4 linked regions of the Pelodiscus sinensis genome follow. The protein of the gene in region 1 interacts with the protein of each later gene in a biochemical or structural test. Links are inferred from orthologs where the notes say so. Each region holds a gene or a part of one and is shown in the gene's direction. Other genes may lie near its edges.

The links.
Region 2: of the proteins of MAPK1 (region 1) and SP1, one has a biochemical effect on the other in vitro, tested with the Homo sapiens proteins (2 studies listed by BioGRID). The link is inferred for Pelodiscus sinensis from reciprocal best matches to the Homo sapiens genes MAPK1 and SP1.
Region 3: of the proteins of MAPK1 (region 1) and TPR, one has a biochemical effect on the other in vitro, tested with the Homo sapiens proteins (2 studies listed by BioGRID). The link is inferred for Pelodiscus sinensis from reciprocal best matches to the Homo sapiens genes MAPK1 and TPR.
Region 4: of the proteins of MAPK1 (region 1) and DUSP1, one has a biochemical effect on the other in vitro, tested with the Homo sapiens proteins (2 studies listed by BioGRID and IntAct). The link is inferred for Pelodiscus sinensis from reciprocal best matches to the Homo sapiens genes MAPK1 and DUSP1.

Annotation. Positions count from the first base shown.
Region 1 is NC_134725.1:17,137,690-17,144,971, forward strand, and holds the start of MAPK1 (mitogen-activated protein kinase 1), read left to right. Parts: upstream 1-4,269; 5' UTR 4,270-4,506; coding exon 4,507-4,649; intron 4,650-7,282. UniProt on the Homo sapiens protein: Serine/threonine kinase which acts as an essential component of the MAP kinase signal transduction pathway. MAPK1/ERK2 and MAPK3/ERK1 are the 2 MAPKs which play an important role in the MAPK/ERK cascade.
Region 2 is NC_134729.1:286,760-294,493, forward strand, and holds the start of SP1 (transcription factor Sp1), read left to right. Parts: upstream 1-4,714; 5' UTR 4,715-4,864; coding exon 4,865-4,871; intron 4,872-6,440; coding exon 6,441-6,541; intron 6,542-7,734. UniProt on the Homo sapiens protein: Transcription factor that can activate or repress transcription in response to physiological and pathological stimuli.
Region 3 is NC_134719.1:54,932,998-54,939,874, forward strand, and holds the start of TPR (nucleoprotein TPR), read left to right. Parts: upstream 1-3,864; 5' UTR 3,865-3,977; coding exon 3,978-4,128; intron 4,129-6,370; coding exon 6,371-6,475; intron 6,476-6,877. Other genes in the region: ODR4 (protein odr-4 homolog), read right to left, coding at 2,026-2,124.
Region 4 is NC_134727.1:18,126,219-18,133,957, reverse strand, and holds the start of DUSP1 (dual specificity protein phosphatase 1), read left to right. Parts: upstream 1-4,727; 5' UTR 4,728-5,067; coding exon 5,068-5,437; intron 5,438-5,584; coding exon 5,585-5,733; intron 5,734-5,941; coding exon 5,942-6,161; intron 6,162-6,689; coding exon 6,690-7,060; 3' UTR 7,061-7,739. UniProt on the Homo sapiens protein: Dual specificity phosphatase that dephosphorylates MAP kinase MAPK1/ERK2 on both 'Thr-183' and 'Tyr-185', regulating its activity during the meiotic cell cycle.

The DNA of each region.
Region 1 (7,282 bases):
TTAGTGTATGTATTAAAGGATAAAATAAAATAGAGGAAATGTATCATGATTAGTGGAACCAAGTCATACAGGTCATGCTCCTTAGAGGGGCTCTTAATAATAGGACACCAGGGAACATGGTAAATCAATAGGGTTGAGCTGGAAGCAACTCAGATTCAGGAATAGAACAGCACACAAGGTTTAATAAAATTCCATGTGTTCAGCTTATGCTGAATACAGCTTCACTCTTTGCAAATGAAACACAGTGGCAGCACTGGAGCTGCTGTGAGGTCTCTGAAGAGCTGCAGTTGGCAGCATAAACCATGGAACTCAATCTGAAATTCCCCAGAAACCTAGATTTTGCAGATTCACAGGTAGCCCAGTGATAAGACAGTTGTGGGCAGAGATAACCATGCAGGAGAATGACAACAGCAGGCAACTAAAACTATTATCATGCCTTTTACTAGGAAATAATGCAGACAGGTATGTATGCACCACTCTGAAGCACACCACTGCCTCAAATATCACAGCAGTCTGAGGAGCTCTGGAGAGTTATTGCTCCCTAAAGCAGAGTGAAACAGTAGGGCTGGACCAGACCCCTCTACCACTGCCTTATGCCCATTAGGAATGTAAGTGAGTAGTCAACTACTCAACTATTCACCTTCCCTTCGCCTTGCTGCCTCTGTATCAGGCCAGTTAAAAGCCGGATCCTCCCAGCACCGTCTCTGCCCCCCTTCCCATGCTTCTTCCTCTATCTGGTGGCAGCCCCTGTTTTTGTGGGTCCCAGTTCCCTGCCAGTACCCCCATGGACAGGGATGCTGGACATGGCATGATCCAGGACTGAGCAAGCCCAGCTCAGTCCTGGCTTGAACTGGGTCCGGCACCTACCTTCATTTTAAATGTAGCAAGAGCCAGGCCAGCTGCAGCAGTCCCGGACTCAGTGCTGGCTTGCGCTGGGTCCAGAACCTACCCTCACTGTGGCTCTGCATTTTAAATGTAGTAAGAGCCAGGCGGGCTCTTACTACATTTAAGATTCAGAGCCTCAGCACGGGTAGCTTCTACATCCAGTGGGCTTATCAGGTAGTTGAGTCCAACTACTCGCTCCTTTTCCTTGCTGCCTCTTTATCAGAAGCAGCAAGGAGGGGAGAAGCAGGAGCTGATGCTGGATACAGCCAGCTTAAAAGCTGGTTCTTCCCAGCACCATCTCCACAGTACAGGGGGAGGGGGAGGGGCAGGGGAAGCAGAGGCATAGTGGTCAGGGACCAGCGTGAACTAGGACTGCTGAGTCCTGGCTTGTGTGGGTCCTAAACCTACACTGCTGTGGCTATGCCTTTTAAACATAGTAAGAGCTGCCTAGCTCTTACCACATTTATAAGGCAGAGGCACAGCAATCATGGACCCCTGCAGCAGTCAGGGACTCAGCAGCCCTGGTGGCAGGCTGCAGTAGGTCTGGGACCTGTCACAAGCTGGGACTCAGCAGACTCAGCTCGTGCCAAGTCCCTGACCTCCAGGCTCTTACTACAGGCAGTCCCCGGGTTACGTACAAGATAGGGACTGTAGGTTTGTTCTTAAGTTGAATCTGTATGTAAGTCGGAACTGGTGTCCAGATTCAGCCGCTGCTGAAACTGACCAGCAGCTGACTACAGGAAGCCCGAGGCAGAGTTGCTCTGCCCCGGGCTTCCTGGAATCAGCCTCTGATCAGTTTCAACAGGCTGAATCTGGACACCAGTTCCGACTTACATACAGATTCAACTTAAGAACTCCAGGCGTCCCCAAGTCAGCTGCTGCTGAAACTGATCAGCGGCTGATTCCAGGAAGCCCAGGGCAGAGCAACTCGGCCTCGGGCTTCCTGTAGTCAGCGCTGGTCAGTTTCAGCAGCGGCTGACTCGGGGACGCCTGGGGCAGAGCAGCTGGGGTGCTGCTGGGTTGCTCCAGTAGCGCCGCTCCTCGGCGTTACTGGACCAACCCAGCAGCACCCCAGCTGCTCTGCCCCAGGCGTCCTGATTCAGCTGCTGCTGAAACTGACCAGCAGCGGCTGAATCAGGACGCCTGGGGCAGAGCAGCTGGGGTGCTGCTGGGTTGGTCCAGTAGCGCCCAGAGCGGCGCTGCGGGACCAACCGGCAGCACCCCAGCTGCTCTACCACAGGCGTACGGAGAAAAGCCTGCTCTGCTGGGGGGAGGCATACTAGCTGCACCCCCCCCCCCCCAGCAGACCAGGGAGATGGGGAGCAAAGCCGGGGAGCACGCGGGCAGCAGACAGCCCAGATGTGCCGTGGCTGTCCCGCTGCCGGCGTCCTCAGAGGCTTTGCTCCCCGTCTCAGGAGACCAGGGAAACGGGCAGCAAACCCCGTTCGTAACTGCGGATCGGATCCGCGTAACTCGGGGACTGCCTGTACATTTAAAAAGCAGAGCTGTAGTGGGGAAGGTCCAGGACCCAGCACAAGCTGGGACTCAGCAGTTTCTACCACATTTAAACTGCAGAGCCACAGCAGGGGGCAGCTCCTGGACCCAGAGACAGGAGAGAATACCTCCCATTATCAACTAATCATGTAGGTGACACAAATTGTATTGACTACACAGTTAGCCAATTACCTACTTCTTAACATCCTTATAGAAAACTATAAACTTTTCTATAGCAATACAGGGACAAGACGATAGAATTAAACCAAAATAAAATGTAATTTAAATAACATGAGATGACATACTTTGTACATCAGCTCACAGCAGGGGGACTGAGAGCTGATCACAACATGCTTAAAGCAGCTACATGACAGTTCCAGTTGTTGTGAGAGAGGTGTAGCACTTCTTAAGCATGATAAATGTCCATCCAAGTTTTGTCCACATCTGGCTGCACTAGCAGAATCTATAAATCATCTCACAAGGCACGATATTGAGTGGGACTACATGGGATCCCAAGAGCAAGCATTTGATTTAAGTACTACCACCGTGGTGAGCTACTGACACTCCAATGTGATGCATCAGAGAGGACTGGGTGTAGCTCTTTTGCAGAAGCAATCAGTCACATATGCTAATAGAGTGCTGTCAGAGGCAATACAGGGGTATGTTTAAACAGAAAAAGAGCTTCTGGCTGTGGTATTTGGAGTGGAACAATTGCATCTGTACTCCTAATAGTGCAATGAGGACACAAACCCCTAGACACAATTATGACAAAGCCCCTTTTTAAAAAGTGCTCCAAAGAAATGGCAACGCATGCTGATATGCCTTTAATAACACTAGAAAGCAAAGATCAGATATTGTTTGAATGATGACTGGCATTAGTTGATACCATTAGCTGGGCCCATATATCCAGCATCAGTGGAAAGGGAATCAGGACACTGAATTTATGAACATATTGTGATATCTTCAATTTCAAAAGTGAAGTAGATGGAGACCCAGAGGCTAAGAAAAAGAACACCCACCTACAAGCAATCAAGAGAGCAATACTAGCAGGATGGCCAGAAAACAAGACAAGCAGCACTAGTTTCAGAACCCTATTTTCAAGTTAAAGATGAGCTGAGTATGCAGTATGGAATCCTATTTCAAGGGTAGAGAGCTACTGTTCCCACTGCATTATGTAAGGATGTGGCACACAAGACATACCACTCCCTAGGCTCCAATGTTTGCTCGAATCTGTTCAATGCAGGTGCAGATTTTTCCCATCCGTGTGCAAAATACAATTTTATGCGCACCCAGGCATGTGCAAATGTGCACCACCAACAGGCACTCTGCTGGGCAGCCACACAGGCAGGGCTTACGGAGAGCACTGCTGGGCACTGACCACTGGCTCAAGCGTGTTTAATGTCCACTAGCGGATTAATACTCACGCAGCTCGGCTCCCTGAGACAAGGGCAGGACGCCCAGCAGTCATGCAGTAACCCCTCCTCCCGCCAAGAAAGCCAGTTACCACACGAGTCCCCCTCCCCCCATGGGCCAAGGGCGGGGCAGAGCAGTACCTGAGTACAGTGGATTCCTACTCAGCTTATGGGGCGGGGCCTAGCCCCTGACTGACACGAGAGCCATGTCAGGGATTGACCAACGGCCGGCCCCAACGCCAGGGGCGGCATCCCGGGCTGCCTCAGCAGAACACAACCCCAAGGCGCGGGGACGCCCCCGTCTGGCGACGCAGCCCAAGGGCCCTGACAAGCGCAGGCCTCAGCCCATTGGCAGGCGGGCATCCGTCACCTGACGCTGAATGGCTCCCTGCAGCAGCGCAGCTGGCACACCGACCACGTGCCCTTCTTGGCTCCGCCCCCCTCTTTTCTGCGGCGGTTCTGAAGTTACCGCAGTCCCCGCTTGCCCCGCCCCTCCCATGCTTATAACGCCTGGTTCCCTCACCACTCCTCCTCCTGCCGTGTGCGCGCGAGCGAGACCACCCTCCGTTCCGGGCGCGCGCCCCTCAGCCTCCTCACAGCGGCGGCGAGCGGGCCTTGGGCCGGACGGCTGCGGGTTCCTGGGAGCGCAGCCGCCGCGCGGGCACCCGAGGCGACCGCGTTCCCCTCTTCCCTAGCGGTTCCCAGCACCGAGAACATGGCGGCGGTATCGGGTGCCGGGGCTGCGGGCGGCTCGGCCAACCCCGGGACTCCGGAGATGGTGCGGGGCCAGGCGTTCGATGTGGGGCCCCGCTACACCAACCTCTCCTACATCGGGGAGGGCGCCTACGGCATGGTCTGGTGAGTACCGGCCGGGGGGCAGAGCCCTGCCTGGCCCACAGCCTCTCCCGGGCTGGGCAACAGCCCGCGGCCCCAGCCTCCTTGCTCTCCTGCGGGCAGGGGACCGGGACTAAAGTGTCTCTTCCTTTCCCAGTCTCCTGTAGCTGCGTCTTACCTCCGCTTGCTGCCAAATCTCCTGCCCTCTTCTCTGCCTCCTCGCTCCAGGGGCTGCCCCTTCCTCTTCCAGTCCTGGCTCGAGTTCTGCTTAACTATTCTTGTCCGTTTACACTGTCTCTTGGATTGGTTTTGTCTTTTTTTTTTTAATTCTTGGCAGTATGATATATATTATAATGGAGAAGGAAGCCAAAATAATGGCCATGACTGACGGAGTACAAAGCTCACCTTATGTGCCAGGACCACACTGGGTAAAACTAAAAAGAGACTTTATTATTCTTATTACCTCCATTATCTATCTTGTTTGGTTGTGATTTGGCATCTTTCCCCCCAGTAAGGACAAGAAACCTCATATATTGGTGAAAATACTTTTCAAGGTTGAAACGCTTGTGTATCAGTTTCAGAGGTGTAGCTGTGTTAGTCTGTAACTAAATAAACTTAAAACAGTTTTGCAGCACCTTAAAGACTAACAGAAATTTAGAGGTATCATGAGCTTTCGTGGGCATCAGCTTGTGCCCATGAAAGCTCATGATACCATGTACATTTTTGTTAGTCTCTAAGGTGCTGCAAGATTATTTGTATTTATGTTGTATCCCAGAGACATTTCAGTGAAACACCGCCATTTATGCAGAGTGAATGTGTGTGTGCAACTATTTTGACATAACTGTTTGAATCAGGCTATCAGAATGATGGAGAAATGCACATATGTATTTGAGCAAGTTAAGATGTTTATTACCAGCTAATAGTATGCTGAGATTGAGTTGAGCTGGTGTATATGTTGTACGTGGGTAGAAGGATGCGCGAATGTCACTGACATGCTCTCGTGTTTTTCCTTAAATTATTTATCCCATTTGTCTGTCTTTCTGTGAAATGGATTAAAGAATTAATTTCCTAAATTCATCTGCACTCTTGAGAGCAAACAAATAACTTTTCTCCAAAACCTTTGCTGTTTTCCCTTCAAAATGCACAGTGTCTTTCTATAATGTATGCTTTTAAAAACTATGTATGCTTTTTCAAATAGGTTTGATTTGTTACTTGTTTCTTTACAGCATAAACTTTCATTCAGAGGTTGTATTATGATGACTTCTTGATGACTGAATGAGAGGCTTGTATTCCGGAATGTAAACTGTCATTTAGGCCTGGATTCACCAAGGAACTAAATGTGTGTTTACATGCTTTTACTTGATGATGATGTTAGCCCTTTTAGTTATTGTGATAACTTTCAGTATGTTTTGATGACCTGTTTATATTTGTCTGTATAGTTTACACCAGTGAAGCTGCAGTGAATATAACATGTATTAAGTGTACAGATTTGAATGTAAGACCTGTTAGTGCAGTTTACTTTAGAAACCAAGATAAGCCTCACCAGTGCAAGTTTGTTTTATACCTGTTCAACACATCTACATGGAGAGGTTAGCACCTGTATACTGTACAGTAGAAATACCCTTGCTGTAGATAGATTCTAATTGTGCATTTCTCTGAAGCTAGAGAGCCTCAAATCGTACTTCTCTGAAGTATAATCTGCTCCACTTACCTCAGTGGAATGCTAACAATGATATTGGTTTGGACTCCAGCAGGGAGAGGAGGAAGCAGCTCTGTGTGCTGCCATTCTCCCCTCCCTCACATCTAAGGAAACAGCAACATAGCAAAGTGCTGGTCTGGAGGTGAGGCAGCAGAGATTGGTATTAAGGATGCAAACATGTACATGGTTATCAATGACCTTGGACTAATCTGTTGTGCATGGTTACACGCAGTTCTCCCACCATCTGAGGCAACAGCAAGGGGGTGAGATGGGAGCAAGGGGTGGGGTCAGATGGCTCTGCTCCTATGTGTAAGCCCTGAATTTCAACAATTACATGTTTATGTAAACCCACTTTAACATCCCCAGTTAGTATTTTGGGGCATGGAGCCGCATATGCTCCCATAGCAGGGTGCCAGAAATACCCCACTCCCATCAACCTCATGTCCAGACCCTGCATCCCTATTCCCTTCATGCATGCTCCCTTCTTCCCAGAATCCACTGCAGCACCCTCTGTGGTTTGAAAACTTTACCCTATTTCCCAGGGTTGCTGGATTAAAGAGGCTTAAATGGAATTCACTACTGAGCAAAGGCTGCAATAAATGTTATGAAGGATACATAGTTTGTTGTCAATAACATCCTATTTTGGCTTCACAGGTGAATGGAGCATGGTTTGTGGGCAGGATGAGAACATATCATCTCCCCCCCCCCCCCCCCACACACACCTGATCTCTTGTGGCTTGAGATAAAACATTACGTTTTCAATTTTTTCTCAAAGTCTGTGTTAGCCTCTTATCTTAAACTAAACACATGAATATATTTTATATAAATTAATGACAGGAGTTTTTGGTCTAAGGTAAGTTTCATGTCCTTTCACATCAAAGGTTATATTGAACAGCAATCACTAAGGAATTAAAACCTAATATAGTGAATCCTTAAACTTAACTCCATTAGAGGACTA
Region 2 (7,734 bases), on another chromosome or scaffold:
AGAAGTGCCAATTTCACCTTCCTTGGCTCCATTGAATGTCACAATATTAAGATAAACAAGAAACAACATACCATTCGGAAGCAATGCAGAAATTCATCCATGCTGGAACGCCAGCCTCATGTTTATGAAACAAACCCATGCTATTTTGAGTTTTTCTTAAAGCCCCAGCTTCTGAAGTCTCCGATTAGATGAGACTCAATCTTAGCTTTCATTTAAAAAGTAATATTGTGGCCTTCATCATTGTAAAAGCTTGAAAACATGAAGTGAGCATCGCTTACAGGTTCAAAAACCAAGAGGCAAAGAAAAAGACGACGTATCATTCTGAAGCCAAATTGAAGATTTTGGGGAGCCAGAGTCATGATTTTTGGGTGGCTCCTTAGGCAGGTGGGTAGGAAAGAACATGATGTCTATTCTCATACAGTGCTGGGCCTGACCTTCCAGTGAGGCCTGGCAGGGAAATTGTTCTGCACCCTAAGGTGGGCCCAGACTCCTGAAAAACACTCGGTAGCAGCATATTAAAGGACACAGGATAAGGTGACAACTGAGGCAACACCATGGTGTTTCGGGGGAGTGAGGAGTGGTGTGGAGAAAGTCTCAGGGGGATGCATGACTTCCAGGAAAATTTCTAGGGAAACACGTTAGCTTCTTCAAGTCCTGTGGCACCTTAAAGACTAATAGATTTATTTGGGCATAAGCTTTCATGAGCAAAATGCCACTTTTGTCAGACATGGTAACCGGCTCTATAGGGTTGCCAGATGATTTCAACAAAAATACTGGACATACTTGACATTACATCACAATCTATATTACATCTTATTTAGAAAATACCGGACATTTGTATTTTCTCATTTATATTTTTTTCAAGTTGTTTTCTGAACAGAAAGCTCAAATACTGGACTGTCCGGTTCAAAACCAGACACCTGGCAACCCTAGCTCTGGGGGGTTGTACTGTTGTGACAGAGACTAGGGAAAAAGCTGTTGCGACGGGGTATAAGGGGAATGGGTTGCTGCCAGAGTCATGTGCCCGCTATGGGGACAGGGTCTGAAGATGTGCTGTGCTGAGCACTCTGGGTGACGAGCCGATAACAGGTCTGTCAAAGTGAGTTTTTAGCCCATAAAACTTATGCTCAAATAAATCTGTTAATCTTTAAGGGTGTGTCTACACAGCAAAGTTATTTCAGAACAACAGGGTGTTATTCCAAAATAACTATGTGAGCATCTACACTGCAATTCCATTATTTTGAAATAATTTTGAAATAACGGATGGTTACTCCGACTTCTGTAAACCTCATTCTACAACACTCTGGTCATCTGAAGAAGTGGGCTGTGTCCACAAAAGCTCATGATACCATCTGCATGTTTTGTTAGTCTTTAAAGTGCTTCCAGACTATTTGTTGTTTTTTAAGTTTATCTATGAAGAATAATGCCTATTCCGAAATAGCTATTTCCAAATAGCTGTAGATGCTCCACTTGTGCTATTTTGAAATAGCCCCCACCAGGGCCATTCTAAGTTATTCCTCCTGGGGCTCCAAATCAAGATGGCACACATCTACATTAGGCAAGCCAGCTTTGGACTAATTTTGAGGTTTCCCTGCAGTGTAGCTGTGCTATTTTGAAAATAAGCTATTTTGGAATAACTATTCCAGAAGAGCTTATTCCTAAATAACTGTGTAGTGTAGATGTACCCTAAGGTGCCACAGGACACCTCATTGTTTTTGTGGATACAGAGTAATACTTGTTAGCATCTTGAGAGAAAATGGAGTGGGTGTCTGAGGGGCATAGCTGTGTCTCAGTGTGTTGTGTCAATTTTTTGATGGGAGGTGTGCCATCTCAGAATACCATGTCTGTAGCCTGAGAAGACAAGGAGGGGCTTGCAAGGACACTACGATGTCCAATAATAATGTCTTGCGATGACAAGAATAAGTGAATCTTGAGGAGACGGGTGTAGTAGTCCCAATGGGATATGGAGGGTGACACACTTGTGAGATGCTGAGATGTTCAGTGGTGGAAAGACTGCAGGACTGTAATGTTTCTGGGTGACAACACTGTGTTCATGGGTGATGTGGCTGTAGAGTGGGGACAGTCAAAAGAACATAAGAATGGCCACATTGGGTCAGACCAAAGGTCCATCTAGCCCCGTATCCTGTCTTGCGACAGTGGCCCATGCCAGATGCCCTAAGGGTGTGAACAGAACAGCGAATCATCAAGTGACTCATCCCTGTTGCTCACTCCCACCTTCTGACAAACAGAGGATGGGGTCACCCTCTCTGCCCATCATGGCTAATAAGTATAGATGGACCTAACCTCCATGAATTCATGTAGCTCCTCTTCGAACCCTGTTCAAGCCCTGGTCTTCTCAACATCCTGTGGCAGGGAGTTCCACAGGTGGACTGTGTCCCCCACACTGGCAGGGCGGAGGCACAGGCTGTCCTGACAGGCACTCAGGGTGTTGTGGGGGGAGGGGCTGACACGACAGGCTCTTGGGAGGGTTGTTGCGAAGGGGTCCTGGGGGAAGGGTGGCCCTACCAGTGACAGGATCAGGTGGGGAGGTGCAATGGGGGGGTCGGGGGAGCCATGGTGAAAGGGGCGGGGGAGGTGACAGGCGGAGGGTGGTGTACTGGGGAAGGGGGGCCATGGTGACGAGGCGGGGGGAGGGGCGCTCGGGAGGAGGGGGGCGATGGTGACGGGGCGGGGGCGGTGACAGCGGGGGGAGGGGCGCTGGGGGGCAGGGTGACGAGGCGGGGGCGGTGACAGCGGGGGGAGGGGCGCTGGGGGGCAGGGTGACGAGGCGGGGGCGGTGACAGCGGAGGGAGGGGCGCTGGGGGGCAGGGTGACGAGGCGGGGGCGGTGACCACGGGGGGAGGGGGGCCGGGGGGGCAGGGTGACGAGGCGGGGGCGGTGACAGCGGAGGGAGGGGCGCTGGGGGGACAGGGTGACGAGGCGGGGGCGGTGACCGCGGGGGGAGGGGCGCTGGGGGGACAGGGTGACGAGGCGGGGGCGGTGACCGCGGAGGGAGGGGCGCTGGGGGGACAGGGTGACGAGGCGGGGGCGGTGACCGCGGGGGGAGGGGCGCTGGGGGGGCAGGGTGACGAGGCGGGGGCGGTGACGAGGCGGGGGGAGGGGCGCTGGGGGGGGTCGGGGGGGCAGGGTGACGAGGCGGGGGCGGTGACCGCGGGGGGAGGGGCGCTGGGGGGGCCATGGTGACAGCGGGGGGAGGGGCGCTGGGGGGGGGGGCCGGGGGGCAGGGTGACGAGGCGGGGGCGGTGACAGCGGGGGGAGGGGCGCTGGGGGGGGGGCCGGGGGGCAGGGTGATGAGGCGGGGGCGGTGACAGCGGGGGGAGGGGCGCTGGGGGGGCCGGGGGGCAGGGTGATGAGGTGGGGGCGGTGACAGCGGGGGGAGGGGCGCTGGGGGGGCAGGGTGACGAGGCGGGGGGAGGGGCGCTGAGGGAGCCGGGGGGAGGGTGACGAGGCGGGGGCGGTGACAGCGGGGGGAGGGGCGCTGAGGGAGCCGGGGGGAGGGTGACGAGGCGGGGGCGGTGACAGCGGGGGGAGGGGCGCTGGGGGGGGGGCCGGGGGGCAGGGTGATGAGGCGGGGGCGGTGACAGCGGGGGGAGGGGCGCTGGGGGGGCCGGGGGGCAGGGTGATGAGGTGGGGGCGGTGACAGCGGGGGGAGGGGCGCTGGGGGGGCAGGGTGACGAGGCGGGGGGAGGGGCGCTGAGGGAGCCGGGGGGAGGGTGACGAGGCGGGGGCGGTGACAGCGGGGGGAGGGGCGCTGGGGGGGGGCCGGGGGGCAGGGTGACGAGGCGGGGGCGGTGACAGCGGGGGGAGGGGCGCTGGGGGGGGGCCGGGTGACAAGGCGGGGGGAGGGGCGCTGGGGGGGCCGGGTGACGAGGCGGGGGGAGGGGCGCGCTGTCGCGACAGGCTGCGGGGGGCGGGGTGTCGCGACAGGGGGGCTCAGGGCGGCTCCCTTCCTTAAGTGGGGGCGGGGGCAGGCGCTCGGCGCTCACATAAAATGGCGCCTTTTCCGCCACATTCCCCAGCACGGGCCGGGCCCGCCCAGCCCTCCGGGGCTTCGCCCGAGCCCGTCACAGCCGCTCCCATTGGTCGCTTTCGATCTGCTCCCCTTCCTGATTGGCTCCCAGCCTTCGCCTGGCATCCCGCCCGATCGCTGATAGGTCGCTCTCCCTGTCAGCCCCTCGTCCCGCCTTCTCTCTCTTCCCTCTGATTGGTGTGACTTCCAGTCCATCGAATTGTGGTGCCGGCCGTCCCTTCGCAGAGACCGCCTCCGAAAACCCGCCTAACGGCCGATTGGTCACATCGCGCGTCAATCACGGCTTCGTTCCACGCTCTCCTAGCCTCTCCCATACGGGGTTTCCTCAGGAGCCAGCACGATCGCTGATTGGCCACCTGCCACGTCAGTTGTTTTTTCGCCTCAGCCTTTCCTCCCTCCCTCCGTCCACCCTTCGCCGAGCAGGCCTGGGTTTCCATTGGCCACACTCGCCGTCCGTTCCTCCCGCTGCCCTCCCTCATTGGGCGGAGCCGTCGAAAAGGCGGATCTTAGGGCCGGGGCTTTTCGTGCGCTGCTACCACTCCCTCTTGGACCCGCCTGGTTTTCCATTCGCCCCACAACCTGTCATCTGCGGCTAGTCCCGCCCCCCGCGGCTCTCCGTGCCTTTTGATTGGGCGCCGGCCGAGTCGGGAGGCGTGTCCCGGGGCCGGGGCCGAGTCGCGCAGCGCCCCCAGTCCCTCCCTCGCCAGCCCTTTGGCGGTCACCGGCGGGGTTAGGCTGCCTCGTCAGCGAGTCGGGCTCCCCCGCCCCTCCCCCCGCCCCGAGAGCGACTTGGGCTCGCCCCCCGCAGCGACCATGAGCGGTAAGGACGGGACCATCCCGCCCCGGGGGACGCCAGGCCGGCCGACTCCGGCGGCGGCCCCGCCCCAGCCCGCCCCCACCCCGGGCCGCGGCGCCCTGGGAGGGGAGGGGCCCGGGGGAGGGGGCTCGGGACGGGGGAGGGGCCGAGGAGGGGGGAGCCTCGGGGGAGGGGCTCGGGAGCGGGACAGGATCCCCGGGGGGGGAGCCCTCGTGGCGTGGGGCTCCCGCGGGGGGGGGCGACGGGGGGAGGGGCGTTCCTGATTGGGATCGCCCAGGGGAGGGGTATCCCTGGGGGGGCCGGGGTGGGGGGATCCCTCCAGGGAGGGGGCAGGAGCGAGGATCCCTGTGGGGGGGGTAGGTCTCATGGGAGGGGGGTGGATCCTGCAGGGAGGGAGCCAGGATCCTTGGGGGGGGGGCAGGAGCGGGGGGGGGGGGGATGATCCTGGAGGAAGCAGCACCCGGAAGTGTGGGGGAGGGGCGGGAACCCCCTGGAGGGTGAATCTTGCAGGGAGCCTGGGGGGGGGGCAGGGTTCTGGGGGATCCCTCGTGTGAGGGACCCCCCCCCCCGAAGATTGGGGCTGAGCTCCTGTTAGATGGGGGGGGGAGCCTCGTGCCTAAGCCCCTGTGGAGGCTCTGGGGGATGGAAGGACCATTGAGATGGGGGGGGCTAATGGGGCAGGATTTAGGGGATGGAGGAGGGGGCAGTGGTTCTCCACCTCCCCAGGCTGCTGTCCCCCTTTCATGAGTCTGATTTGTCTTGCCTACCCTGAAGTTTCATGTAAAAATGACTTGCTTACAGAATGAGACGTGAAAGTACAAGAGCGGCACCGCACAGTTACTGAAAATACTGTGACTGGAAACATTGTTTACATCTTCACCATCTAATAATAAAATAAATCAATTGGAATATTAATATCGCACTTGCAATCGGGTGTATTGTTGATGGAGCCGGAGAAGCAAGTCATTGTCTGTGTGAAATTGTGGCTTGTACTGACTTTGCCTGTGCTTTTTGTGTGGCCTGTGGTAAAACTCGGCCAGTCTCTATCCCTGGAAGACCTGGAATCGCTGTCCCTGCCTGTACCGCAGTAGGGGTGGAATGTGGGGAAGGCCCGTGGGAAGAGACCTACGCAGGATGGGAGCAGGTGCAGGGGGATTAGGGGAGAACCCAAGAGTGTGGTGAGGGGAGCAGAAGAAGGGCCTTGAAAGAGTGGAGCAGGAGGGACCTGAGAGAGGCAGGGAGCCCAGACCTTCCACTTCCTCCTCCCTGAGTTTTTGTGCTAACCCTGCAGCTTGCCATTTGCCCTCTCTCTTTGGCTTCATCGTCTTTCCTTCACTGTCCTCTCAAGCCCTCCTAATACCCCCATCCCACGGAATAGCTAGTTACTGGGGTAGTTGGGGCCCTCCTTTAGCTTTCTAGTCTCACCTCCCTTCTTTCTGTTTTTACCCTTGTGTGCGTTCTCTGTTCCCTTAACTTTCTTGTTTTTAAACTGCTCGCCCTTCCCTGCACTCTGCTTCTTGTGAACCTATTCTAGTTTGACTGTAATCGTGTCTCACTTTCCTCCCCATGCAGACCAAGAGAGTCCAGAAGAAATGGCTGTTGTGAAGTCGGAGAAGGAAGAAGAAAGTGCTTGTAGTAGAAGCAGTAGCATTGAAGGCAACGGTGAGGCGCAGGTGAGCGGAGTCCCAGCATGGTGGGAAAAGGGAAGATTGTGTAAGGTGGGATAGAGCAGTGTTTCTCAACCTTTTTTTTTTTTTTTTTTTTTTTTTTTTGAAAGGAGGAATACTGATACCTCTAGAACCTACAATATCCCCCAGTACCTACAGTTTTCAGACGCACACAATTTTTTCTACCATTGCATTGAAACAGCTTAATCTTAGCTGGCCAGATGATTAAATTTTTGGGTGTAATAAAAAAAAAAGCTCTGTAAAACTTAAAACAAAAATTCAATTTTCTCCAAATTTCAGTTGTGTTGACGTACCCCCCCAGACTTCTCTCGAGTACCCCTAAGGGTACTCGTACCACTGGTTGAAAAACACTGGGATAGAGGATCTGAGTGGCTAGTGTGCATGCATGTGAATAGTTAAACAGGACAGACTCTTCTACCCTGTCCTATCAGTCCTTATGCAGTGAGAGACAGCAACCCTTGGATGTGTGAGAGTTGGGGTTTCCCCATGGTGGCGCCAGTGGTAAAGGGTAGGGGCTCGCTTTGGGGTGGAGAAAGTCTCAGCCTTAAAACTCTGTCAGTCACCTCTTTGGCCTTGTGTAACATTTAGCGTGCATGCATGTGTGTAATTTCAAAACAAACACTCTGCTGCACACACATCTCCCCCTGGGGGGAGGAGGAGAGAACGAGGACATGACTCGTTAGTCAGATTGCTTAATGCACATCTGGATGAGCACAGTACAGAGCCTATAGAGAACTGAGTTGTGCTGTCCCCATGATCACAGGCAAAACTTCTGCCAACGTTAACATTCCTGCGCCTTCTCCACGAAATAGTGATGCTGGCCCCTTCTCGAAGCCTCTCTTCGGTCTAGTGGGTGCAGGGTCTCTGAGCCCATAGGTGCCTAGGAGGAATCGCGCTGCCTCGTGCCAAGTGTCACGGCACAGGGAAACTTCCTTGTCTTGAGCTGAGCTATGGAAGCAGTTTCGGGTGTCTCTCCTTGGGTTTCATTGACCTCCTTTGTGGTTCCTCCGCTTGCTCATGCCTGACAGCCCTGCGTGTGCTCGTTGTCTTTCCCGGCAGTGGGTGTGTCTGGCTAAAGGGGCGTTTCCCTGGGCTTTAGCTGCGCACTCCTCCTTGGTTTTGCTTGTTTGGCACTGCCAGTGGTACTGGCCCACAGATACTGAACTCCTCCTCCTTGC
Region 3 (6,877 bases), on another chromosome or scaffold:
CATCCAGCCCTCTCACTCCCACCCCGATCCAGCATCCCCATCCCTATCCCACTCACTGGCAGCCCTGTCCCATGCACTGCACCTCTCATTTTTGCCCCCACCCCAGAGCCTTAGGTTTCCACAAAACCTACTAATTCTGGAACCCCAGAAAAGTAAATCTAGCCTATGGGAAGCCCTGAACCTCAATCCTCGCTGTCCCTTCCCCTCGCTCCATGGGGTTGGAGCACCAATGGAGTGAGTTGTCTCAGTTGCGGGCCACATCAGTGTGGGTTGGGGGCTTTGGAAGGAGTTTTTTTTGCTTTTTTATTTGTGTGGTCCTCAGCTGATTTTTCTGTGGGTCAGTGGTCTCTGACCCTAAAAAGGTTCCCCACCCCTGCCATACACAAAGAACACATTATGTGTTGGACATAAATTAATATTTTACTTGATTTAAAATGAAGCTTGATAAACTAACATGAGAAAGTTAAAATGCTTAATCTGTTTAATAATTTAAATTAAACCATTCTCTTTAGCTGCAGCACTTGCAAAATGGCTCAGGGTTACTTATGTAATTACAAGTGAGTTTCCATTAGCAATTGGTGGTCTACAGAAAGGTTTGCATTGAGCCAGGTAGTCCATGGGCCAAAAAATTTGAGAACCGGTGCTTTAGTTTCCTGATCTTTCAGCACTTCAGCTAGTTAGCTGAAAGGCTGTTCAAAACACAATTCATAAAAAAAAAGTAGGAAGTGGATACCATTGCTCAACTAAACACATTCCTTGCATTAAAGATACGTCTGCGCTGCAATCATCGGGTGTAACTGTAACCCCTGTGGGTATGCCTGAGCTTAAACCTAGCTAACTCAGCTACCACATCAGTGAAGCCATAGCAGAGTGGAAAATGTGTAGGGTGGTCAGCCTTTGCTAAAGCCTAAGTGTCAGTTTCACTGCTCTGGTACATGAGCTAGCTAAATTAAAGCTTGGGTATGACCACATGAGTTGCAGTCAAAGCCCATTATACCAATATAGATCTACCCTAGAACCAATATACCATTTTCCCACAAACTTAAAAAGACAAAATAAAAAGCATTAGGATGTCAGCACCATCATAAGCTAGTCAAGAACCCAGCTTTGAGTAGGGATGTTAGCAAAACATCACTGCATTTAGCCATTTATTTGTACCTCTGGACCCCGTGCTCCATTCATCTGAAGAAGTGGGTTGTGCCCACAAAAGCTCATGATACTATCTACATGTTTTGTTAGTCTCTAAGGTTCTGCAGGACCATTCATTGGTTTTTTCTATTATTATTATTTTCAGTTACAGACCAACATGGCTACCCCTCTGAGACATTTAATTCTGTAAATGTGTAACCGTTAAATTTTTCATTAGTTACACATTTACATGCAGGAGTAGCAGGCGGGAGCCAGTACTCGCAGGGAGCCATCTTTTAAGCACCGCAAGCACTGGCTCCCACCTGCTACTCCCTGCCCCTTCTTCACTGCCTCAGAGGCAGCAGTGCTGGGGGAGGAGGGGGGAGGCAGCTCTGCAGGAGCCCGTGGTTGTGGCAGAGAAAAAAATCAATACAAATAGTACAAGGTAACAATGAAAATACAGATTATCAATTTTGGGAATGGCAAAAAAGGAAGAAATTAAAATGGTAACATATTTTGCTATGTTAATCATTCACAAATATATAAAAGAAGTGACACTAAAATGATCTTCACAATCTCATTTCTACTAACACCTTAACACACATGAAACTTCTACAGGTGGGACTTCTCTGGTTGGGCACCCTCGTGACCTGGGCAGTCCCAAACCTCGGAGTTTGCCGGACCCAGGGAGATCAAGGCTCTCCTTCAGCCCTGCTCCCCATCGCCAGCCTCTCTGCCCCAGCCCCTCTGGGGCTGCACTCTTGCCCAGGGCCTATCGGCTACTTAAAAGGTTTTACAGCTGAATATAGATAATAAGCCCTATATGAACATGTTAATCTGAGTTACATTCACATCACAAAAGCCTATTCACTTTCATATAGCAATTTAAACAGTTACCTGTCCTATCAACAAGCCTGTGACACAAGTCTTTGGCTTGGTGCTGAAGTCTGAAAGATACTGTCCAACAGGTTCTTCCACAAAATAGCTTCTTCCCATTACTGCAGGTTTAGCCTAATTTCCATCTATAAAAAGAGAATATATTAATCTACTTTTTAGAGGTACTTAGTCCGAGAACATAAGGTATAGGAGAGTAAGAACACAGAAATAAAGTGTCAGAAAAACACCCTGAGCATATTAATATGTTACTGATAATTTTACTGAGTTCTAAAAGTCTCTCTCTGAATAGGTAAGTATATTCTTAACATACTTGTATGAAAAAGAGGTATTTTAAATGTGATAACTGTGAAACTGACATATCAAATAAAATATCTTCATTTAAAGTCTTGAAACGATAATTTACAAATGACCTATGAAACAACCTTCAACTCTTAATGTTCACCTCCAATTATTGTCTCATGAATTCACAATTCTCAGTCAGACTCCCATCTCTAGCCTATAATCACATCACCTGCAAATAACTGCTGCCTAGAAAAAAATGAAAGACTAGTCCTGGCTCAGTCCACAATAACTGCATTCTTTAAACATGCTCATTCCCTTCTTCAGACATGATTTGCTTTTTAAGCCACAAAAGTCTGTCAAACAGGCCTGTCTTACACCTTCCATTTGCAGGGTTTTGTTTGTTTTAAAAAATCCCTGAACACAAGATGTAGGAGGTGGGCATAGGGGGATTCTCTCTCCCCTGGCGGCCAGGCTCATATCCTTCAATCTATTTGACTCACTCCTTCCAAACTAAGGATGTTAAGAAGCAGGTAATTGACTAATCATATAGTCGACACAATTTATATCAACACACAATTAGTTGATAAGGGGCACCGTCCCAGACCTGGCGCAAGAGGGACTGAGCAGTCCCAGCTCAGGCCATGTCCCAGACCCACCCCCGCTGCAGCTTTGCCTTTTAAATGTAATAAGAGCTGGGTGGCTCCCTACTACATTTACAAGGTAGAGGTGCAGCAGTCCGAGACCCAGTGAAAGCTGGAACTGAGCAGTCCCATCTTCCAGACCACTGTGACTCTGTCTCTCCTCCCCCACCCCACACCAGAGAGGGCGCTGGGGGGGACTGGATTTTAAGCTCCCTTCAGCACCAGCTTTCCCCCCTCCCTTTGCTACTCTGTATCAGGCGGTGGGGGGTGGGGAGGACAGTCGAGTACCAGTGGAGCCTAGGCTTATCGGGCAGTGAACTAGTCACTTACATCCCGACTCCAAAGGGACACAGTAAAATCAAGAGAGAGAGAGCGAGAGAGCGAGATCTACACCAAAGAGCTGAGAGGCGACGTGGCAGGCGCCAGGACTTGCAAGGTGCAAGCAGGCGGAATCCACTCGTTCGGGCAGCCCCCGCGCGGGCGGCGAGCCAGCACCTCCGACCGGGGCCATGTTCCCTCTGCCCCACCAGCTCTCCCCCTCCGCGCGGCCAGGCCCCCGGCGCCTTCAGACACGCTTCCCCTCCCCCACCAAGGTCAGCCTCCCAGCCAGGGCCACAGCTTACTGGTGTCCCCACAGATGCACATCACCAGGCTGCGCTGCGCTCCGCTCTCAAGGCGCAGGTTGATGACGTAGGATCACTGCGCCTCAGGTCTCTTTCAGGTTCTATGATTCGAGGAGAGAAAACTCTCAGCGCCGGAGGTCGGGCGCTGGTTGTTGCCGCCCATCGGGGCCCGCCATGTGCTGTGTGGCAGAGGTCGCTGCGCCTCTTTCTTGCCCACCCGGGCCGCAGTGCCTCGCCCATCATGGCGGACAGGACGCGACTTGCGGAAGCTTTCGCACACGAGTTCCGCTTCCGGTGGCGCCTGCGGTCGGTTGGCTACTGTGCGCGCTCTGTGCGAGCCGGGGAGGCGAGCTCTGGCTGCGCGCTGCTCGGGAGGCGGTAGCGAGGTTAGCGGCTCCCTCCCAAGATGGCGGCGGTGCTGCAGCAGGTCCTGGAGCGGGCCGAGCTGGCCAAGCTGCCCAAGCCGGTGCAGGGGAAGCTGGAGCGCTTCCTGGCCGACCAGCAGACCGAGATCGACGGGCTCCGGGCCCGGCACGAACGCTTCAAAGTGGACAGCGGTGAGTGGCGGGAGCCGGGCCCGGGGAGACGTTGATACGCTGCTGTCCCTGGGACCAGGCCTGAGTCTGCTGCCAGGCAGGGGGGCCGGCCCCCGGGCTTGGGCGGACGGTTCTCCCGCCCGCCACGGAAATGCACCAGGAACCGAGTGTCGAGTTGTGACAGCGGCCACTGGCTAGTGACAGACCCTGGCAGCAAAGGGGTAGCGCGAGAGGCAACGCTGTGGGCAGCTCTCCTGGTGCGGACAGAGGCGTATAAACGTCCCCCACGGCTTTCACTGCTGTGTAGCGGCACTGAGGGAGCATTACACGTGTTCTAGGAAGTGGATTCCTTTGACTTTTAAACCCTCCTTCTCCACTTAGGCCTTGGTCAACAATATTTGCAGAACTCAATAAGAGGCTGCTCTTCGCGTGAAGTTACAAGTTATTGCTTTACATTAAACGCCTAAAATTAATTGAAAATGAAAGGGAATGTACTTATTGAGTGAGATTCTCTATCTGTTCCCTAAGTTAGGCTGTTGCTTGAGGAAGAGTATAAGAGCTTTGTTTGGTCTACACTGCAAAAAAGAACATTGCTACAGTGGTTCTGTGAGCCCGGGTCTACACACTTTGTGTCCCAGAACTAAAAATAGTTATGAAGATATTCCCATTTGGGAATAGTGATAGAGATGCAGCCATGTTAGTCTGGTCTAGCTAAAACAAAAAACAGGACTATGTAGCACTTTAAAGACTAACGAGATAGTTTATTAGGTGATGAGCTTTTGTGGGCCAGACCCACTTCCTCAGATCAATCTTCTGCAAATTGATCTGAGGAAGTGGGTCTGGCCCATGAAAGCTCATCACCTAATAAACCATCTTGTTAGTCTTTAAAGTGCTACATAGTCCTGTTTTTTGTTTTAGCTATTCCCATTTTGGGTCTGAGCCCTAAGGAGGGCATTGATTTCAGAGCCCACGTTCTAGTGGGAACTTCTATACGTCTATTTTTAATGCTATAGTATGAGTCTGGTTTTATAAACCCAGGTTCTGAGACTCAACAGCTGTGTTTTGGTGTTTTTTTATTTTTTCAATCTAGACATATTCTGAGGGAGCCCAATCCGGCAACACTTCCAGTAAACTCAGTTTTTGAAACTTTAACCTTTCTGAATGATCTGCAGTTGCTGGAAACAAAACTTTGAAAGGGTGATTGAATTATCACCTATGCAACACTTTGGCTTCCTGAGTGCTGTAATCCAACCCAGGCTTTGGGACTATAAGGTAGTTCCTTCTGGCATTATATGGAGATATACCTATTTCATATAACTGGAAGGGACCTTGAGAGATCAAGTTCAGTCCCCTACCCTCAGGGCAGGACCCAAGTACCATCCCTGATAGATGTGCCCCAGATCCCTACATGGCCCTTTCAAGGATTGAGTTCACAGCCCTGGGTTTAGCAGGCCAATGCTCAAACCACTGAGCTATCCTATCTCTCTTCCCTGCTTAAACTCTTAAGATTTTTTTTGAGACAATGACATTGATTATATATGATTTTATCACCTAGGGATGTTAAATCAGTTAACTGGTTAAACACTAGCACTTAACTGTTTTAACTTATGTCCTGCCGCCATAACTTATGTTGTGGGGTCCCATTGTTCAGCCTGCTGGCTTCTCTGCAACTGGGGCTGCTCCAGCTCAGAGTTCACTGGCAAGGGCCAGTTAACCAATAAAATCACTGCTATCACCCTGGGCTCAGTTGGAAAGGCAACATATCTTAATGTCTAGAACGGAGGAGTGGGACCAGGAGACCTGGATTTAATATCTGGCTCTCTCAGTGGGTAACCTTGGGCAAGATACTTCCCTGTGACTCTATTGCTTTGTAAAATGACATTAAAGATACTGATGTTTGTAGAACAGGGGTCTCAGTCTCCTGGCCCGTGAGCTATCCCCAGCCAGAGCAAGTGCTCAATCCAGACTGAGATTCCTAGGGGGACAGTGGAGGCTGTCCACTTTTGGCCCCGGACAGCCTCTACTCCCAGCAGTTGGCCACTCTGCCTCTGGAGTCCTGGCTGACCCCCACTCCCAACCACTGGGACTGCATCTGGCAGAGAGGTCCTACCTTTAGTTAGCAATGTAGCACTGCACTTAAAGTTTTCAGTAGAGCCTGGAGCAGGAGTGAAAGGATTATTTCTGGCATTTTTCTGGTAGATATGGTTCCCTAATAAAAACTAATTATGAAGTAATGTTAACATAATGTGTTGGTGTTGTACAGAACAACAGTATTTTGAAGTGGAAAAGCGTCTGGCTCAAAGTCAGGAGAGACTTGTAAACGAGACTCAGGAATGTCAGACAATCCGCCAGGAGCTAAACAAACTTAGTAAGTATAACTATGCATTGATTAACTGTTTTATGCTTGAATAACAGTTTGGAAAGTTATTTTTCTGCTCATATGATTACATCTATTGAAGTTATTTTGAAATGCTTAATACTCTAACCTTTCATTTCGTAGAAGTTAATTGATATTTTTTATTCAAATCCTTGCTTTCTACATGCAGTCTGTTTTACTGGAGTAAACATCTTATTTCATTTTATTCAAGAAAAGATTCTACAAACAAATGTGTGCAGTGTACCCTTATATCCAGGGCTCGCCGAACCACGCTGTCCGGCAATCTGCGCATGCGCAGGTCGCTGGAACCCAGCTCATCCGGGTTACAATATACTTGCCACAGGCGAGTAGATTGTATAATTTGTCGAGCCCTGCTTTATACCAATAAGGGTC
Region 4 (7,739 bases), on another chromosome or scaffold:
ACAATGAAATTTTAGTCAGCTTGGAAAGGAGGACTTGTTTAGGAGTGAGGAGTTAACTTGGCATTTCCTGACTTTTTTTAAGACAGGAAGTCAAATCCTAATTTAAGTTAATTGAGTTAAACTCTTTAAATGTCACTATAACACTGTTTTCTGCTTTCGTTACTGTGACGGTTCTCTCCCCCAACCATGTTTATGAAGTTTGGCTTATGAATGGCCCTGGGCCACTTCAAAAATTAGTGAAGTGCCCCCCACCCCATCTAAAATTATTGCCCACGCCTAACCTAGTCAAAAGCCATCTCAGAATTACATTCTCCTTTCCTGCTGTATTTTCAGGCGGATAAGGGATTCTGCAGCAACAAGATGGGCGAGGTAATATCTTTTATTGGACCAGCTTCTGTTAGTGAGAAACAAGATTTCAAGCTCTTCTTTGGGTTTAGAAAAGCTACTCCCAATATCAGAGCAAAATGCAAGGTAGAACAGGTTGTTTACTTATATTTTAAATAGCACACATGATAAGTATTGAGAGCCCTTTAATATCTCTACAGATATATGACAAAAGGGTGTTATTGGGATATAGATTATTCTAATAAGCCATAAATCCAGTGTCTCTCTTCAGTCTGTGATGTTTAATGTCTAGAAGAGTAATGATATTTAGCTTCCAGGCCTCACATTTGAAAGTGGTGTGCAGGTTTCGTTTGAGGATGAGGACTGATAAGTTAGATTTAGAGTAATCACTGTGAAAAAATGCTCACTCACAGGCAATATAGTGCTTCGGTCTTTTATACATTTCCTGTGTGAGTTCATTCAAGAGCAGAGTGATTGTCTGGTTTCACCCATATACTGAGCTATTGCAGCGTGTCACATTAATCTATGGCTGCATTCCACCTTTCTCCTCCCTGAAATGATTTTTGAGTATTTACTTGTATATGCAGTAAGTAGGAATTCTGCCAAGACAATTCTCTAAGGGCCTCAGTTCTTGGCCTATTCTTTCTTGAGTGGTTGTGGATTAGACTACAGAAACCCCCTTGGGTGTGCTGATCATGCCTCTAATGTCTGCTTTCCTGCCCTTTGGGACTCTCTACCACACTGTCCTGCTGGGCAAGACCCTGTGTCTGCCCCATCCAAGGCACAGAGTTGGGGTTACTGCCCTCTGCAGAGCAACAGAGATGCTGAACCAGCTCAGCTCCAGGAGCTTGGCTATAAGAACTCAGTATCCAGGAAACCAAACCACAAAAGGGACCAAAAGCCCAAATAAATCAGTTTTTTACCAAAGTTTCACACAGAGAAAGCTCATAAAGATGCTTGCCTCTTTATCTATGAAAGAGGTATGCACAGTGATAGTTTCTTCCCCCCCCCCTTCCCCTCCAGTAACAATTATTTACTCTGGGCTTGATGATAAACAAAAATGTTTTATGAAGTACAAAATGTAGGATTTAAGTGATTACAATGAAAACAGTCAGATCAAAGCAAGTTACTAAGTTTAAATAAACAATTCAAAAATACTAAATATACTCGACATGAAAATTATTACCCTAAACAGTTGTTCTAAACATCTTTCACAAGCTAAGCAGCCTCCTAGGTTGGGCCTAGGATTCTTCACCCCTACTCGATCTTAGATGTTTCCGAACAGGCATGTTAGGTGGTAAGTGGCATCTCCTGGCATCTGCCCCTTTTGTTTGATTTCCCTCACCCCATACCCTTTTTGCCCAAGGCGTGAATTCTGTAATCATACAAGTTCAAACTTTTCTCACCTTGAGTGGAAAAGTACAGGGTCCAAAATGGGTTTCAGCATCACGTGGCCTGGCCACAAGTCCTATGACCAACCACAATTTGGGCTTTTAAGAAGAATAAGCCATTCGTGGGTTGTTGGTTTGAATACTGAGCCATTATGTTTCCACAGCATCAGTAATGGCCCTTATTAGCACATTCAGATTTAAAACCAGATTCACATTTCATATTTCTAACTTCACATACAAGAATGATACATGCAAAAAATTAAAATATACAGATTCAGCAGACTGTAACTTTAAAATTGATGTTACATGAGATATTTTAGAGTGTCTGAGTTAAGTATACTCATAAGCCAATTTTCATAAAAGCATGGGGGACATAACAGTGGGTTTTGTTTTTTGTGAAAAGACTATTACTAAATTTATTCTTGATAATTATCATTATTATTATTCCCCTAAAAGAGCAGATTGTGAATACATGGTCATTAAAATTTGAATTGGAGTATTGTGCAGAGTGAGGTTTATAAATAATAACCTTGCTAATGTCAACATTGTATGCAGCACATACAACAGATTATGTGACCTATTCTGATCAAATAGCCACTTAACTGTGAGCAGAATATTTCACTGATCATGCTTCTTGGGCATTAATGATTCACTGGAAATGATGTGTTGTACGCTGCCTCCATGGTTCTAGTAACTGAGTAGCTGATAGAGGGCTGGAACATCAACCATTGGAACATATGAATCCTTCACACACAATCTGTGTTTAAGTCATGGTGTTGTTAAAATAGCAATAATAAATAAACAGAAATGAAAAAGTGCAACCCTGTTTTTATTTTTAAGGAAAAAAACAGATTTGCTTTGAATCTTCAGCTTTGGCAGAGGAGTCATGGTTTGGCAGAATGGAGGCAATTGCACAATCAGTTAATCAGTTTCAGACTGGCAATTAGTCAGTTGTCTGGGGGAGAAAGGTCTGGATGCTGTGGGGCACTTGGTCAGATACAGATCAGCAGGGAAGTTGAGAAGGTTGTAGAGCCCTTTTTTGTTTATGGATTGACAGGGAGTTACAGAGGAGGTTCTGGAACATTCTGAAGCAGCTGGTCACTAATAGTTTGTCAGGAGCCAGTGCAGAAGGCTCTGGAAAGTCCCAGAAAATTGTGGCAGTCTGGGGTTTAGAAAGTGTGAGAGGCTTCCCCAAAGCAATTTGAGGGTATTAGAGGAAATGAGAACAGGGAAAGTTTGTGTTGAAAGATGTAGCTAGAGAAGAAGGATGGTAAGAGAATACTGCTGCCTATAAGGCAGAGAAGGAAAAAGCAGTAGTATGGAGGTAAGAGGACGGGAGAAGCAGGAGTCACAATGAATGGCCAATAGGGAAAAGGGACTCCAGAGAGATTTGCTCTACATCTAGACAGCAGCGCTATTTTGGGATACCGAAAGTATCCCGAAATAGCAATTCCACATTTTTAAACATGCCCGTCATTTCAAAATATATTTTGAAATAATGGACACACTATTCCAGCGTCCCTGTAATCCTTGTTCCACAAGGGTTAAGGGACTTGTCAGAATAGCACTTTATTTTGAAATTAGGCACGGGGTAGATGGCACCAAGTTTAAAAATAAGCTATTTCAAAATTACCTCAAAATAAGCTACACAATTTACATATCTTATTTCAAGGTAAGGGTGCACCCCAGGGGAGCCTTCTTCCCCATGGGTAATAACAGAGACAGAGAGAGAATACACAGAGAAGGGAAAGACAGGCTGTGAGACTACATAAAAATCAGGCACCGAGGACGGGGAAGTGAAAATAACTGTGATGGGAAGCTCTGAGCAAGAAATACTCCAGTGGGTTGATAAAAGCTGATCACCCACAGGGAAAAGTAACTTTTGGGAAGCCTTACTAATTGGTGAAGGGGGGAAAAAAACTCTACTGCCAGTTATTTCGTAGCCCTGATTTCAGTGGGAATTTTGAGTATGCAAAGAATACAGTCCCAGGACTAGAGTTTAGTTACATTGTTTTTTCTTTCATACAAAATACAGGAAATATTCCTCTGCATATATACACACCCCCTCTTTCTTAGGAACCTCAAATATATATTTAAAAATTGCCCATTCCTCTTCTCACCACCCTGTAATGTTTTTCTGAATACTCCTTTCACATGCCAGATGTATGTCAGTATGTGATGTGTGTGTGTAAGCCTAAAGTAAATGTCAGTAGGGGTATGTGTGTATAAGCCTAAAGAGACATAAGATGAAGAATCTGTGCTGGCAATCATATTCCTATTCTATAAAGCTGTGGTCTCCACCACACTAGCCACATTTGGCAATTTAGCCACTTGAGTGTGGTTAGTTCGCTTTAGCAATAGCTACTGCAGTGGCTACTGCTTCAGAACTGGTTGGACACTACAGCTATAAAGGAATATGGACATGAACTAATATTGTTTTGAAGAAAGGAGGAATCACTATTACTTGTGCTTTAAAGGAACCTCACTTAGCTTCTTACCAGTGTGGGGTCTATGGCACTGAGTGGAAGAGCTCTAATTCCACCCAGCAGAGGGCAGTTCGAGAGCGACTGTGCCTAGCCACGGCATCACACCAGGCCTGAGGGGAGTGTGTGTGAATCCTCACACACCGACCCGATAAGAGACTGCGGAACAAAAAGATGAACAAAGCGCGTGTATGTTCTTCGGCTTTCCGCTGTACATTGTGTGCCGAGGGGCCCGGTGGCTGCTGCCCGTGGCGTTGCAGCGCGCAGGGTTGCATCAGTCGATTTCCTGCCGGCTCAGGATGGAAGGTGTGTGTGTGTGTGTGTCTGCAGTTTGCACTCCAGCGACTGCTGGCGAGCCGATGACGTGAGTGCTCCCGGGCAAGGGAGTGTCTGCCCTACGCCCCTCCGAGTGACGTCAGTCTGAAGCAGTCAGGTGACCCAGGCTCATTCACAAAAAAGGGGCAGGCCGCTCCGCCGCGGAGCCTATAAAAGGCCGCGCGCGCGCTGCAGCCCGCCAGGACCCTGTGAACAGCGGGAGCAAGAAGGGGGCACACAGAGCACTCGCGGACCCAGCCTCCATTGCAGTCAGAGGCGCTTCCCCTCGGACCCGGACTCTGCCTGTGCGGGCCGAATTACACACAAGAAATTGCCGAGACGCGCCGCGCGGTTGGTTTGTAAAAAGCGCCCCGAGAAGCAACAAAGGAGCCGGGAGAGGAAGCCGCCCCCGCGCTCACACAAAGGGGACCCGCCCTTGGACCTCGAAAGAGACCCACCGCCCGTCCTCCCCCACCTCCCCGCTCCTGCGTTTGGGGACCCGGACCCTGCCCGCCCGCGCCGCGCTCCGAGCGATGGTCAACATGCAAGTGTGCGCCCTGGATTGCGAGGCGCTGCGGGGGCTGCTGCAGGACCGCGCTGCCCAGTGCCTGGTGCTGGACTGCCGCTCCTTCTTCTCCTTCAACTCCGCGCACATCCTGGGCTCCGCCAACGTCCGCTTCAGCACCATCGTGCGGCGGCGGGCCAAGGGGGCCATGGGGCTGGAGCACATCATCCCCAACGAGGAGCTGCGGGGCCGCCTGCTCGGCGGCGGGTACCAAGCCGTGGTGCTGCTCGACGAGCGCAGCTCGGACCTGGAGCTGCCGAAGCGGGACAGCACCATTATGCTGGCCGTGAACACTCTCTGTAGGGAGGCCAGGAACACGCGCATCTGCTTCCTCAGGGGTGAGTCCGGGGAGCGCTCAGGGCGGGGGAGAAGGGGGAGACTGTGCCAGCCAGACACTATCTGGCCTGTGTGTTCTCAGGGGGAACAGGGCATTTACGCCTCACCAATGCTAACAAGACTTTCCCCGTTTTCTCTCCCCATTCCAGGAGGGTACGAAGCCTTCTCTTCCGCCTGCGCTGAGCTGTGTACCAAGCCAACCGCTCCCACGGGCCTGAGCCTGCCTCTGAGTGCCAACAGCATGCCTGGCAGTGCGGATTCCGGCTGCAGCTCCTGTGGAACCCCGCTCTATGACCAGGTCAGTAGGAAACCTGCTAAACAAGAAAGGGTCATTTGAATTGACTATAGCCCTTAAGGCTGGGCATCTCCAGAGGTGATGTTCAGACACAGAAAAGATAGTGAAGAGAGCAAATGTCTGCTTGCCTGCATATAGCAAAAGAAGAGAGGCTACTTTAAACCACACAGTGCAATTATCTGATCCTCTTCCTTTGTCTCTTCTTGTTTAGGGTGGGCCAGTGGAAATCCTACCATTTCTCTACTTGGGCAGTGCCTATCATGCCTCCAGAAAGGACATGTTGGATGCTTTGGGAATCACCGCCTTAATCAATGTCTCAGCAAACTGCCCCAACCATTTTGAGGGGCATTACCAGTACAAAAGCATTCCAGTGGAGGACAACCATAAGGCTGACATCAGCTCCTGGTTTAACGAAGCCATCGACTTCATAGGTAAATGAGTGTTCTCTGCAGCCTGTGCTTCCAGAGAATCAGCTTGCATTTCCCTTGAAGTAGAGATCTCAGTGGAAATCTCTAGCCCAGTTTAATCTTAAAATACATGGGAAGCTGTTTCCTCAGGGATTAAAGTAACATGAAGTAAATCTGTAGCTATCTTATTTGGGTCTGTGCTCTCTACGAGGCTGTATTGCTAACTGCTGAAAGGATTCTTGACTTTATAAAGCAGTTAGTAAATTTAGCCTGGTATTCCACCAGTAGGTTTTGATTTCTAAAACAGTGATAACTGTTTCAAACAAGTGTCAGAGGCTGAAAGAAACTATTTGTATCGTTGGAATTAGTTTTATTCGGGATAGAAATCCTTAGGTGGTTGTTTACCTCAGGACAAGTGTCTCTTTGTCTGAAGTGCCATGCACACCTTGAGTGCTGGGGAAAGAACAAATTCAGAAATAAAAGCTCATGTTTCTGTAGCATTGGAGGAACCGGACCCATGTATTAACCATGTCATTTAATTGATTATTTCAGATTCTGTTAAAAACGATGGTGGAAGGGTATTTGTGCACTGCCAGGCTGGCATCTCTCGCTCAGCAACCATCTGCCTTGCTTATCTCATGAGGACCAATCGAGTCAAATTAGACGAGGCCTTTGAATTTGTGAAGCAGAGGAGAAGCATCATCTCCCCAAATTTCAGTTTCATGGGGCAGCTGCTTCAGTTTGAGTCTCAAGTCCTAGCCCCTAACTGCTCCGCAGAGGCTGGAAGCCCTGCCATGTCTGTATTGGACAGAGGAACGTCAACCACCACAGTCTTTAACTTCCCAGTCTCTATCCCTGTACACCCTTCATCCAGTGCTTTAAGCTATCTACAGAGTCCCATCACCACTTCTCCGAGCTGCTGAAGAATAGAGGAACATTTATTCAGAATACAAAAACTTGACTCTTGTCTAAAAAGTGCAATAACCATGGGGACAGTGTCTTCAGTCATGTGAGTTCGCATGGGGTTCCATCCATCTCAGAGTAACTTATCACAAGCACAAAGGGGCTGATGTGACTCCAGAGAGCTAGTTCTTCCTTGAATTTGCTGGCATATTTTTGACCAATATCTGGATGTCTACAAAGGAGACAAAGAACACAGAATGCTGTTTTCTTCTTCTGAATTACTCCTCCTTTGTCAGGTTGAAAAGACTAGTCCTTGTTCAGTAGCATACCCACCAGTATTCCCATTTCTGGACATTCTAAGCAACAGAGATTATGTTCCATTTTATATAAAAGTCCTGTTTATTTATTTTATGTAGAAGCATTGTTCTTGCCTTTACAAGCCTGAAGTTTCATTTCTAAAGAAACCAAATACCTCAGTATTTTTTGGGTACTGTAATCCTGTAAACACATCTTAAACTGTTCCCACTTCCTAAGCACTGACATGAAAGCACCAGATGAGTGCTTTTTTAGTTTCCAAGGGTTGTATGTTTGCTGATTTATTTATGATGTGAAATAATATATTTCTTCTTATGAAAGAAGACATGGTTTTGTTACATGATTATGACTTTTTATACAAATAGAATAAATTATGATTTTTCT